Ovis aries: one gene and its partner. The protein of the gene in region 1 purifies or fractionates together with the protein of each later gene. This does not show direct contact. Links are inferred from orthologs where the notes say so. Each region holds a gene or a part of one and is shown in the gene's direction. Other genes may lie near its edges.

Evidence for each region. Proteins that work in one complex are often made in the same cells at the same time.
Region 2: the proteins of ABCA1 (region 1) and NR1H2 purify together in Homo sapiens (affinity purification with western blotting; 3 studies listed by BioGRID and IntAct, with this or other methods). This does not show direct contact. The link is inferred for Ovis aries from reciprocal best matches to the Homo sapiens genes ABCA1 and NR1H2.

Annotation. Positions count from the first base shown.
Region 1 is NC_056055.1:18,188,581-18,194,181, forward strand, and holds part of ABCA1 (phospholipid-transporting ATPase ABCA1), read left to right. Parts: intron 1-1,372; coding exon 1,373-1,595; intron 1,596-3,228; coding exon 3,229-3,450; intron 3,451-4,510; coding exon 4,511-4,715; intron 4,716-5,601. UniProt on the Homo sapiens protein: Catalyzes the translocation of specific phospholipids from the cytoplasmic to the extracellular/lumenal leaflet of membrane coupled to the hydrolysis of ATP.
Region 2 is NC_056067.1:56,279,494-56,285,688, forward strand, and holds the end of NR1H2 (oxysterols receptor LXR-beta), read left to right. Parts: coding exon 1-281; intron 282-363; coding exon 364-641; intron 642-826; coding exon 827-1,006; intron 1,007-1,675; coding exon 1,676-1,775; intron 1,776-4,045; coding exon 4,046-4,254; intron 4,255-4,496; coding exon 4,497-4,643; 3' UTR 4,644-5,064; downstream 5,065-6,195. UniProt on the Homo sapiens protein: Nuclear receptor that exhibits a ligand-dependent transcriptional activation activity. Binds preferentially to double-stranded oligonucleotide direct repeats having the consensus half-site sequence 5'-AGGTCA-3' and 4-nt spacing (DR-4).

The DNA of each region.
Region 1 (5,601 bases):
AGATTTCAGGAAATAAGATGCCAGATGTAGGTAGTTGACAGTTTGAGGCACAGACACACATGAACACACACCACACACCGGTAATCCTCACTCCTTTCTGGTCTACGGTTACTAGAACTTTTATTTTTCATACCCTATCCTTTTGGTCAAAATTGGCCCAATCTCCAAGTTTAAAAGGCATCATGACGAGCACATGCCAAATACATCCACACATCCACATGTCCCCCAAATACAGAGGCACGGTGTTACGGACCTTGGAAAGCTAGCCTCACATCAGTTTTTCTTCTTCTTCTCAGTAAGTGGTAAGCCACATTTTCAAACAATGCAAATAAAACTGAACAAGTCCATTTTATCTTAGACTTTCTAGGTAACCTTTTAGTGCTTAGTCACTGTGCTGCCAAGTGGGGACTGTGGCTCTATGGCTCGTGATTTCTTGTGAGAGAGCAAGAATGGGGCAGAGGTGTAGTTATTGCAGGCATCTGAAGTATGTCATGTCTCTTCCAAATTCTGGAAACTCTTTCATTCTCTGTTGTGTGAGGGTGAGAGTGAGTGAGTGAGTGAGTGAGTGTGTGTGTGTGTGTGTGTGTGTGTGTGTGTGTGTGTGTGTAGTGATTAGACTGCAGAAGTAGCAGGGTTACTCTCCTTGTATCTCTCCCAGCTTCTTATTGAGCCACCCTTTTACTTGCAGGGTTCATTCTAGTTTTTCCAGGTCACCTGGATTTATCTTGTTTTTCACCTTCAGAAAGATTAGCCAGTATTTTCCAAAGGAAAATTTTTCCAAAGACACCCCTAAGCAAAGCTTTACTCTAGAAAGGACATATTAAGATGGGGACATGCCTGCTGTCACATACCCTGTAAGTGCATAAGTTGTAAAGCTGAGACTTGAACCTTGAGTCTTAGAGTCTAGATTCTGTGTCCCTTTGACTTCGCTGCATTTCGTTTTCTAGTTTGGAATCTGAAATCTGAAATGTTACTGACAGGAGCTGCCTGAAGTGTGTTTCTGCACCATCTGTCATAACAGTTGTGCAAGGCAAGCTGATAGTGAGATGACCTTGAAGACACTGAACTTTCATGAGACAATGAGTTGGATTTTTGGTTTTGTTGGTTTTGTTTTAGTACTTTAAAATCACATTTAGCTTAATGACCTCTGATAGTTATCTAGCTACTAAAGCAAGCCCTCAAAGAACTTTGGCATCACCTTGTTAATAGTTTTTAATCACTGCATTGCCACGCTCATGAAGCATTCCTGTCAGGGTGCACAGGTCTGCCCATCTCGGGCTTGGTCCTGGTGATTTCCCTTGCATGCAGGACCAGAGTTGTTGGCTCAGGAGCCTGGCTCACTCTTGCCTTTAACCCTCCCCTACCCTTCCAGCTTCCTGCGGGTCATGAGCCGGTCCATGCCTCTCTTCATGACGCTGGCCTGGATCTACTCAGTGGCTGTGATCATCAAGGGCATTGTGTACGAGAAGGAGGCGCGGCTGAAGGAGACCATGCGCATCATGGGCCTGGACAACGGTATCCTCTGGTTCAGCTGGTTCATCAGCAGCCTCATCCCTCTGCTTGTGAGCGCCGGCCTACTGGTGGTCATCCTGAAAGTAAGGCTGCTTCACTGGCTCCTCCCTGTGCCCCCCCTGGCTACGGGGCAGAAGGAAAGCACAGATTGTTTGGGAGGGATAGAGTCAGAGGTGCAGTTCCTGCAATTCCTTCATTTTATAATTGATGAAACTTGGAGAGACCCTGAGAAGGACAGCAACTTGCCCAGTGTCAACCCAGTTGGTTAGTAGCTAAGCTGGACTGAACCTAGAGCATGTGCTTAACCACACCATGCCATCTGTTTGGCAATGGCTTGTGACAGTATCTGAGAGTTACTCATTTTCCTAGGTGCATGTATTGGTTGATGATTCTGCCAAAATTTCTAAAAACCATAATCAGAAGGATAGATACTGTTGTAGGTTAAGATTTTCTGGAAGCAGAGGCTGAGATAAAGTTTGGTGTATGTTTATTTCTTAGGGATCTATACCTATAACAAGGAACAGAGAGGATGCAGGATTGAGCACAGACAGGAGTTGAACTGTGGCACATGGCTAAGCCCCTGGGCACTCTGGCCATGGAGTTGAAATGTCCAGCCCTTTAGGTTACCCCGAGGCCTCCCTCTCTGACAATCCATTGTCCCAGGCCCCTCAATTAGTAACTGGAAAGATGTGCCCCAGGGCTGGGCAGCTTTCTGCAGCTGGGACAAACCCAGATCAGTTGCCGCCTGAGGCTGTCCACTGACAGCCAGTCCGCAAGCCTTTCCATGAAGGGGACTCTGTACAGTGAAGTTCTGTGTCCACCCCTTACTTTAATAGACTCACGTGCCAATTTTTTCTCAATTGTTTCATTAAAGAATACATCTTTTAAAAATAAATGTTTTTAAAAGCAGAGGGGTACCAAGGAAAAGGAACTAACAATTAATTGAAAAACTAGCTACTAATCATTACAAGTGAGCACGTACTGATTGCCGAACACTATTTGAAACACATGCGTATGCTGTCTTATGACGTCCTCACTAAGTAACCCATTTAACATACAAGGAAACGAGGCCAAGGAAGGTTAAGGACTTCACTGAGGTCACCCAGCAGTATGGCAGAGCTGTTCTTGGGGAAATCAAGCTCCCCTCATGCTTTGATATCTGACTGGCAGGCCTGAGCTCTGTGGCTGGGATGGGGGTCTTGTGGCTGGTGGGTGTGAGCTGCTCTGCCAATTGTGTGTTGGTAGGTCCTTGTGAAACAGAACCAACTACTTGGGAGAAACTTGACAGGTCCACAGAGTTTGGATGGTTATGTGGCTCCAGAATCCATGGCACATTCTCACGGGGGATGTTAAGATGGCCTGGCCATTTTCCTTGGCTTTCAGACAGAGAGGCCACGTAGGATGCTATCTCCTGCAATTCTTTCTTGATGCTCATAGTCCTTATAAAAGGTGATATTATTCTTGGGGAAACAATGAACAGAATTGTCTGTTGAGATGAACCTTGGTAAATATCAAGCCTGGACTTTGTTCTGTTTCTGATTCTGCTGTTCTTTGGCTGTGTGGTCTTGGGCTGGTCATTTCCCTTCATTTCACTCACCAGAAAAATGAACAGCACTGTTTCTCTATATTGTCTTTTAAGATGTCTAGGAATAAGCCCTGGCTGCTTCCCATGGATCATTGCTTATTGAGAGTCTTCCTTGATCTCTTTCTTCCCAGTTAGGAAACCTGCTGCCCTACAGCGACCCCAGCGTGGTGTTTGTCTTTCTGTCTGTGTTTGCCATGGTGACCATCCTGCAGTGCTTCCTGATCAGCACGCTCTTCTCCAGAGCCAACCTGGCGGCCGCCTGTGGGGGCATCATTTACTTCATGCTATACCTGCCCTATGTCCTGTGCGTGGCGTGGCAAGACTACGTGGGCTTTACCCTCAAGATCTTCATGGTGAGTTGCTCTGGCCCTTTGGCAGTACCTGCAGTCACAGCCACCCCTGGTGTTTCACCTCTGCTTTGTAGTCCAAGCTGAGAACAGAAGATAAGAGATTCTCTTTCCATGGGGACTTAAGCCTCAATTCTAGATTGTATGCTTCTTGAAGGCAGGGACTGTGTCTTACTCAGTAGTTTATCTTTAGTCCTCTGAGTGAACACTGATTGAATTGAATCGAATGATAATTTTGAGGGAGCCAGGCTGCACCATGGGCCATCTGGGGGTAAATGGCCCTGGGGAATGACTTTAGAGCATTCCCTTTTATCTGCCTTTTGTCTCTCAGCTCTGGTTGGCCATGTTACTGCTGCTGTGTTAAGCTCACCACAAAGTCCCAGTCACAGATAAAACTGAAAATTCTTGAGGTCAGAGCTGGCTCGTTCTGGACCTTTATCTTCCTTGTGTCCAGTATGGAGTTTAACTTGAGTAACGTTTTCTAAACTTCAAGACTGAGGAACAGGTGCCCCATCTCCCCACAAATCCCTGACTTTACTCCCTTCCCTTGTACAGAGGAGGAGAGACCTTTGAAAGTATGCAAGTCCCAGTAATAACGAGTTGTTTTCTGAGTTTTCTATAAGATGCTCCAAGTGTTTCTGTCCAGACCCATTAGGCATCAGCAGCCCCAGACAGGTTCCTGTGACACTGGGCCCGTTGCTGACTGAGCTGGGAGCTTGAGAGGACCCTGAAAAATGCCTCTGTGTGTATGTGTGTGTGTGTGTGTATAAGGTACAGTTGCTGAGCCCCTGAGGCATCTTTAGAAGCATAAAATTCTAAAAGTTTTATATGCCATCATATATGCATTTCTGAAATGTGTGTGCATAATGAGTGCTTATAAATAGAATCACTTTATATGCTGTCAAGGAGCCCACTCCCCTGAAGGGACTCTGTAGATGAATATTTCCATATCTTGTAATTGATCCATTTTGCAAATTCACATTTCTCCAGGTGGCATTTACATTAGTAGTGATAGGAAAATGAGAGACAAGGAGATGGATGAATGAATTTTGCCTCTTTTGCACAGAGCCTGATGTCTCCTGTGGCTTTTGGGTTCGGCTGTGAGTACTTTGCCCTTTTCGAGGAGCAGGGCATTGGGGTACAGTGGGACAACCTCTTTGAGAGCCCCACAAAGGAAGATGGCTTCAACCTTACCACCTCTGTGTCCATGATGCTGTTTGACACCTTTCTCTATGGAGTGATGACGTGGTACATCGAGGCTGTGTTTCCAGGTACACTGGACTTCCACACTGCTTTTGTCTTCATCCAGGAAAAAGAAATTTCTAACCGAGTCATTTTCCTCTCTTTGTGCTGGAATTTCTGCAGGGCTCAGGTCTCCTTGGAAAGTGGTTAGGGCTTTAGACCTATGGCAAACAAATTATCTCTAAGAAGAAGCTACTGATGCTAAAAGTACAGCTTTTACTATTGACCTAACTCTCATTTCTTGAGCACTGTGTGCCAGGCACCTGCACATGTCTTATAAATGATGCTTTGGTTCAATTTAATACTCATAAGACTGCTGTGAGGGAGCTACTGTTCTAGCCAGTTTTTGCAAATGAGAGAAGTATGATGCAAAGAAGGTAAATAACTTACCTGTGGCCTCATAACTGGTAAGAGTAGGTGCTGGGAGGTGAACCCAAGTGAGTTACACTGAGTCAGCTTGCCCAGGAGAGTTCTTCGAAGCTGAACCAGGCCTAGAATTCTGTATCCCCCAAGTTACCACCAGCAGAAGTTCTGTTTCCTGAGTACAGCTTGTGAATAACAAGATACATATTGGCGCTAAGCCCTTGCCTGTGCTTTAATCGAAAGTCATAAAAGTTCATTTTTATACTTCCCTAATAAATCTTCTTGACTGAGACCTCCCTTGGATATATTTTCATAGAAGATCAAATTCTGAGAGAGTGAGCTTTAACCCTTTCTGGTTCACTTTCTGATTTTTCTTCAAAGGAGTGGCCATGAAATATTGATTACCCATCCCTACTTGAACTACCTGAATGTCCCACACTGAATGTGCAATTTTGTATTGTACAGATCTGGATTCCGATTCTGAGTTCTTCACTTCACTGCCTGAATGATCTTGACTGGGCCACTAATCCCTCAGTTTCCTCATCTCTAAAG
Region 2 (6,195 bases), on another chromosome or scaffold:
CACAGCAGAGGAGCCAGAGCGCAAGCGAAAGAAGGGCCCAGCTCCAAAGATGCTGGGCGATGAGCTGTGCCAAGTGTGCGGGGACACGGCCTCTGGCTTCCACTACAACGTGCTCAGCTGTGAAGGCTGCAAGGGCTTCTTCCGCCGAAGTGTGATCCGAGGCGGGGCCGGGCGCTACGCCTGCCGGGGCGGTGGCACCTGTCAGATGGACGCCTTCATGCGGCGCAAGTGCCAGCAATGCCGGCTGCGGAAATGCAAGGAGGCAGGGATGCGGGAGCAGTGTGAGTCCTGGGGAGGGAGTGGGGCCAGGCCAGCCCCTGCCCAGCCCTGGGGCCTCTGCTGAGGCCTGTCTCTCCCCACCAGGCGTCCTCTCCAAAGAACAGATCCGGAAGAAGAAGATTCGGAAGCAGCAGCAGCAGCAGCAGCAGCAGCAGTCGTCACCCATGGGGCTGGGAGTCAGCAGCAGCAGCCCAGCCTCTGGGCCTGGGGCCTCCCCTGGAGGGTCTGACGGGGGTGGCCAGGGCTCAGGAGAAGGTGAAGGTGTCCAGTTAACAGCCGCTCAGGAACTAATGATCCAGCAGTTGGTGGCGGCCCAGCTACAGTGCAATAAACGCTCCTTCTCCGACCAGCCCAAAGTCACGGTACGGCCCCTTCCACAGCTTCGAGGGACAATTCACCCAGTGTGCTCAAGTCGACAGGGCCACAGTCCAGGGCACAGGGAGAGAATGAGGCTCCAGAGAACAGGCACTTTGAGACGGGGTAGCCTTGGGCTCGCGGGAGACGTCCTGAGAGTAACCTGCTCGCCCCCCCACCCCCGTGTCCCCAGCCCTGGCCCTTGGGTGCAGACCCGCAGTCCCGTGATGCCCGCCAGCAGCGTTTCGCCCACTTCACGGAGCTGGCCATCATCTCCGTGCAGGAGATCGTGGACTTTGCCAAGCAGGTGCCTGGCTTCCTGCAGCTGGGTCGCGAAGACCAGATCGCCCTCCTGAAAGCCTCTACCATTGAGGTAACAGCCAGCCTGCCCAGCCTCGGGGAGGCCGTTCCATCCTGCCCTCGAGGAAGTCCCGAGATAAACCCCAGGAGAGATGTCGGGAGGATAGGGACAAAGCAGACTCTAGGCCTTTTCCCTGGTGGGGGTGGTATTCTCCAGGAGAACCTCAAATGCTAAATAAGTCATCAGAGCCTCTTGTGAGGTTAGGAGAGAAGGGAAACAGGGCCTGAGATGGAGAATAATTGAGGGTTGGGCTGGAGGGCCACACTTTAGGGAGCATGCTGACAAGGCTTGTTCAGGGAGTTGATGTTTGAACCAAAACTGTGGTAATGAGTAAGTGCTGAGTGTCTAGTGTATGCCAGGTCCTATTCCCAGTGCTGAGGGCGTGGTGGTGAATGGAGCAGACTGAGAGAAAGCTCTGCCCTGTGCCTCGTAAGCACTTGGGGGGAGTGTCCTGAGTGGAGAAGGCTGGGGGTGCCGAACCTGGGGAAGGGCGAGAGCTTGGAGTGTCCAGCGTGCTGGCTGCAGGCCCTGTGGCTGAGAGATGATGGGGTGGGGTGGAGACGGGCAGGGGATGATCCCAGCAAGATCGGGCCCCCCCATTCAGGCCAGCAGAGGGACAGTGGCCGAGGGGCCACAGGGCTCCTCTAGCCCCTGCCCACCCATCCCCTCCGCCATCCTCAGATCATGCTGCTGGAGACGGCCAGACGCTACAACCACGAGACTGAGTGCATCACTTTCCTAAAGGACTTCACCTACAGCAAGGATGACTTCCACCGCGCGGGTACGGCCAAGCGCAGGCTGGGCAGTGGGGTCCCTGCTGGCCAGGAGACCCGGGCCCTCACATCCTTGTCTGAGCTTCCATCTCTTCACCTCCAGACTAGGGTGAGGGCTGAGCCCTCCCACCTCACAGTGAGAGCTAAGACCACAGTGAGATTATTGAGCCCTGACCCTGCACAGGGGGGACATGGTGCAGGATGCGACAGAGGGGTATGTGCTGTCATATAGGACATCTTCGTAGGAATTAAGGAAAGACACTCTTTGCTCCCCAGCCCTGGTCTCATGTGAGGGAGGCTGGATCTCAGTCCATTGGGAAATACATAACCTCCCCAACTGTACAGGGCAAACCCGGTCCCTGCCCTCCAAGAGCACTTCCCTAGGGATGGGAACCGAGGCGATGGGCTTCTGGAGAGAGTATGGCTCAGTGGGACCAGAGGGAAAGGGAGGTGGGGAGCAGTGTTAGTTACCAGGGAACGCAAGTGCAGGGCCTCTCTCTCTGCTTCTGGGCGTTCTCAGAGAGTCCTGCTTTCTCCTGTCATTTCTCCGTGGGGCACTTCTCTGTCTTCCTGGACATCTTCTCCTCACCCCATCTTTCCTTCCTCTTATTTCCTGGCTCTCCCAATACCCAGGGCAGTCCCAGTAACCCTTTGAGTATAAGCTTGGCAGGGGAGCACTAGGGGTTGGGAGAGTGTTTCTGGCAGGGGCCTCAGCATGTGCAGAGGTCCTTGGGTGGGGAAGAGCGGGTGGTTTTAAGGAACGACAGGGAGGTTCCGGCAGCTGCAGCGCAGTGAGATGGGGCTGGAGCGGAGGTTCGTTCCTCCTACCGCCCCATCCTCCGCCACTGCCAGAGTCCAAGCCTCAGTTGGTCCTTCTGGGAACATTGCAGGGCCCCTTGCTGGGCTTCTGCCTCCACCCCAGCCTGGTGTGTTTGTTCACAGTCATCAGAAGGATCCAGTTAACAACCACGTTAGCTCACGTCCCTCCTGTGCTCAGCACCATCCGTGGCTCCCATCACACTGGGTGGGAGAAAAGCCAGAGTCCTCACCTGGCCCACAGGCCCTGCAGGGTGTGGCCTCGTTCCTCCCGCCCTCCCCTCCCCCTCCCCCAGCCGCGCTGGCCTCCCTGTTATTTGAACCCACCAATGTGCTGTCGCCTCACAGCTTCTGTTTGCTGGTCCCTCTTTCCAGAACTAGGTTGACCATCTCGTCCTAGTTTGCTTGGGGCCTTCCAAGCTTTTCTTACTTTTTAAAGATTTTTTTGTTTTTGGCTGCGCTGGGTCTTCGTTGCTTTGTGCGAGCTTTCTCTAGTTGCTGTGCGCGGGCTTCTCGTTGCCAGTGCGGGCCCTAGGCAGTTGGGCTCAGTTGCAGTGCGTGGGTTTAGTTGCCCTGCAGCATGTGGCATCTTCCTGGCCAGGGATGAAACCTGTGTCCCCTGCACTGGCATGTGGATTCTTAGCCACTCTGCAAGAAGCAAGTCTCCTGAGCTTTAATACTCAAAGTCCAGGGCCTAGGAAGCCTAGTCCCAGGCAAAACAGACTGGTAGCACCCTCCCTGGAACACTCGCACAGCCTGGTAACTCCCTCCCTCCCCTCTTTAGTCAGACACCCTGCAGCTAGGGAGGCCTTCCGACACTCACCTTGTGGTGACCCTCATGTCTAAAATATGGACGTGATTCTCTCCGTTACCTTCCCTTGCGTTACCTCAATCCATAGAACTAGAACCATCTCACAGGGTGGATGGCGTACTTGCAGACCTGTCTATTATCTGTCTCTTCAAGCCCCAGATGCAAGTGCCACGAGAGCAGGGGGCTTTGTCTTAGAATGTCTCTGCCTGGGACCTGATGCGCAGTGGGTGCTCAATCAAGTTTGATGAATGAATGAGTCACACCTGGAAATGAGTTCCGCTTCACTGTGAGAGCAGGGGATGCCACCTCAGGGGGTGATGTAAGGTGACCTGGGATTAAACACCTTTCCTTTTCCAGAGGAGAGGTACCAGGAAGGAAGCGAAGAGGGTGACGGGGTGGTAGAAACTTCTGAATAAATGTTCACACTTATTACTCATTGCTTCATTCAGGCAAGACATATGGCATACCCACGACGTGCCAAGCCCTTGATGGGCAGTGGGGTTACAGGGTGACCAGCACGCTCTACTTGCTGCTGGTTCCCTCGCTCTGCTGACAGTGGGCAATGCCAGTGGCAGGGCAATGCCAGTGGCCAGGCATGGGGGCCAGTTTTAGGTCAGAGTGTTTATCAGAGCCAGTCTCCTGTCTCCACAGGCCTGCAGGTGGAATTCATCAACCCCATCTTCGAGTTCTCACGGGCCATGAGGCGTCTGGGCCTGGATGACGCGGAGTACGCCCTGCTCATCGCCATCAACATCTTCTCAGCCGACCGGCCCAACGTGCAGGAGCCCAGCCGGGTCGAGGCCCTGCAGCAGCCCTACGTGGACGCGCTGTTGTCTTACACACGCATCAAGAGGCCACAGGTACCGGAGCCCGGACCCTCCCAAGGAAACCTAGACCTGTGTAGGGTCAGCTTCCTACGTCCCTGGCTCACCCCAGCAGCTGAGTTCTGATCAGTGTCCTCTCAGCAGCCTGTCCTCAAGGCCCCTGTCCCATCATTAAGGAGTCAGGCAAGTCCTTGCCCAGGGGCCCCCACACTGCCTCTCCAGGGTGGGGGTCCTCCGGGTGGGCCGCCTGGCACCCACCCACTCCTGTCTCCTTGCAGGACCAGCTGCGCTTCCCCCGCATGCTGATGAAGCTTGTGAGCCTGCGCACGCTCAGCTCCGTGCACTCGGAGCAGGTCTTCGCCCTGCGGCTTCAGGACAAGAAGCTGCCACCTTTGCTGTCTGAGATCTGGGACGTCCACGAATGAAGGGCCCACCCCACTGCCCTGCACATCCCCAATGACTGCACACTGGGGTGGGAAGGGACCGGGCTGGGTCTGGGCTCCCGCCCTGCGGCTCGGAGCTAAAGCCTTGGCCCCCCGCCAGCCCTCAGGATGAGCCCCAGTCGGCGTCCAGGAGCCTCCCTGCCTGCCCACTGAGTCTTCCTGGGAGGGCTGGAGGGGGTCACGGGTCCTGAGCTCTGACCTCTCCCAGCACTCCCAGCTGCCCTCCCCGCCCAGCTTACACCTCAAGCCTACCATGCAGTGCACCTTGAACAGAGGCAGGAGGGCCTGTGGCTCTCCCACAGCCTGAGAGACCACAGACAGGCTCCCTGCTCTGCTCCTTTTATTTAATAAAAACTAAAAAAAAAAAAAAAAAAACAGGAAAATAAAGTATGACTAGAAACTTGCTCTGATTCAGGATGAGTCTGAGGTGGGAATGGGCTGCCAGGGTCTTCATGGACACCAAACCCCCAGACCTGGTGTTGGACTAGGGTGGGTTCAGGGTGATAAGACTAGGCGCTTTGGGGGCCTCAGGGTCATCTGGTGGTTGGAGCCTGCTCCTGAAGGTCAGGGAGGATTTAAGTGGAGGAGGGCATGGAGCTTTCGTTCAATCAGCAAGTATTGGCTGAGGCTGCTTTGTCGGCCAGTCTCAGGACACAGGTGTTTTTCATTTGACAGATGCGTATGGAGCATTTGTGCTGTGCTGTGGTTAGTCGCTAACTCGTGTCCGACTCTGACCTCATGGACTGTAGCCCACCAGGCTCCTCTGTCCGTGGGGATTCTCCAGGCAGCAATACTGGAGTGGGTTGCCATGCCCTCCTCCAGGGGATCTTCCTAACCCAGGGATCGAACCCAGGTCTCCCGCATTGCAGGCGGATTCTTTACCATCTGAGCCACCAGGGAAGCCCCATGGAGCATTTACTATGTGCCAAATACATTCTTAGGCACTGGAAACATCTGTGAACACGATAAAGTCTCTGCAGCCACCGTGGAAAACAGTATGGCGGTTTCTCAAAACACGAAAACTAGAGGAATTCCTTGGCAGTCCAGTGGTTAGGACCCTGGGGGCCTAGGTTCAGTGCCTGGCTGCGGAACTAAGATTACACATGCCATTCGTTGGGGTCAAAAAAAAAGCTAAACTAGAACTCTGTCACAGGACTCAGCAATCCCACTCCTGGATATATACTGAAAAAACCCCAAACACTAAATTTGAAAGGATACACACACCTCAATATTCGTAGCAATATTATTTACAATTGCCAAGATAATGGAAGTGACCTAAGTGTTCATCTACAGATGAAGAAGGCGTCATACGTACATACAGAATGGGATACTATTCAGTCATGAAAGTGAAATTTTTGCTATCTGCAGCAACATGGTTGGACTTGAAGGGCATTGCTGCTGCTGCTGCTAAGTCACTTCAGTCGTATACGACTCTGGGCGACCCCATAGACAGCAGCCCACCAGGCTCCTCCGTCCCTGGGATTCTCCAGGCAAGAATACTCGAGTGGGTTGCCATCTCCTTCTCCAATGCATG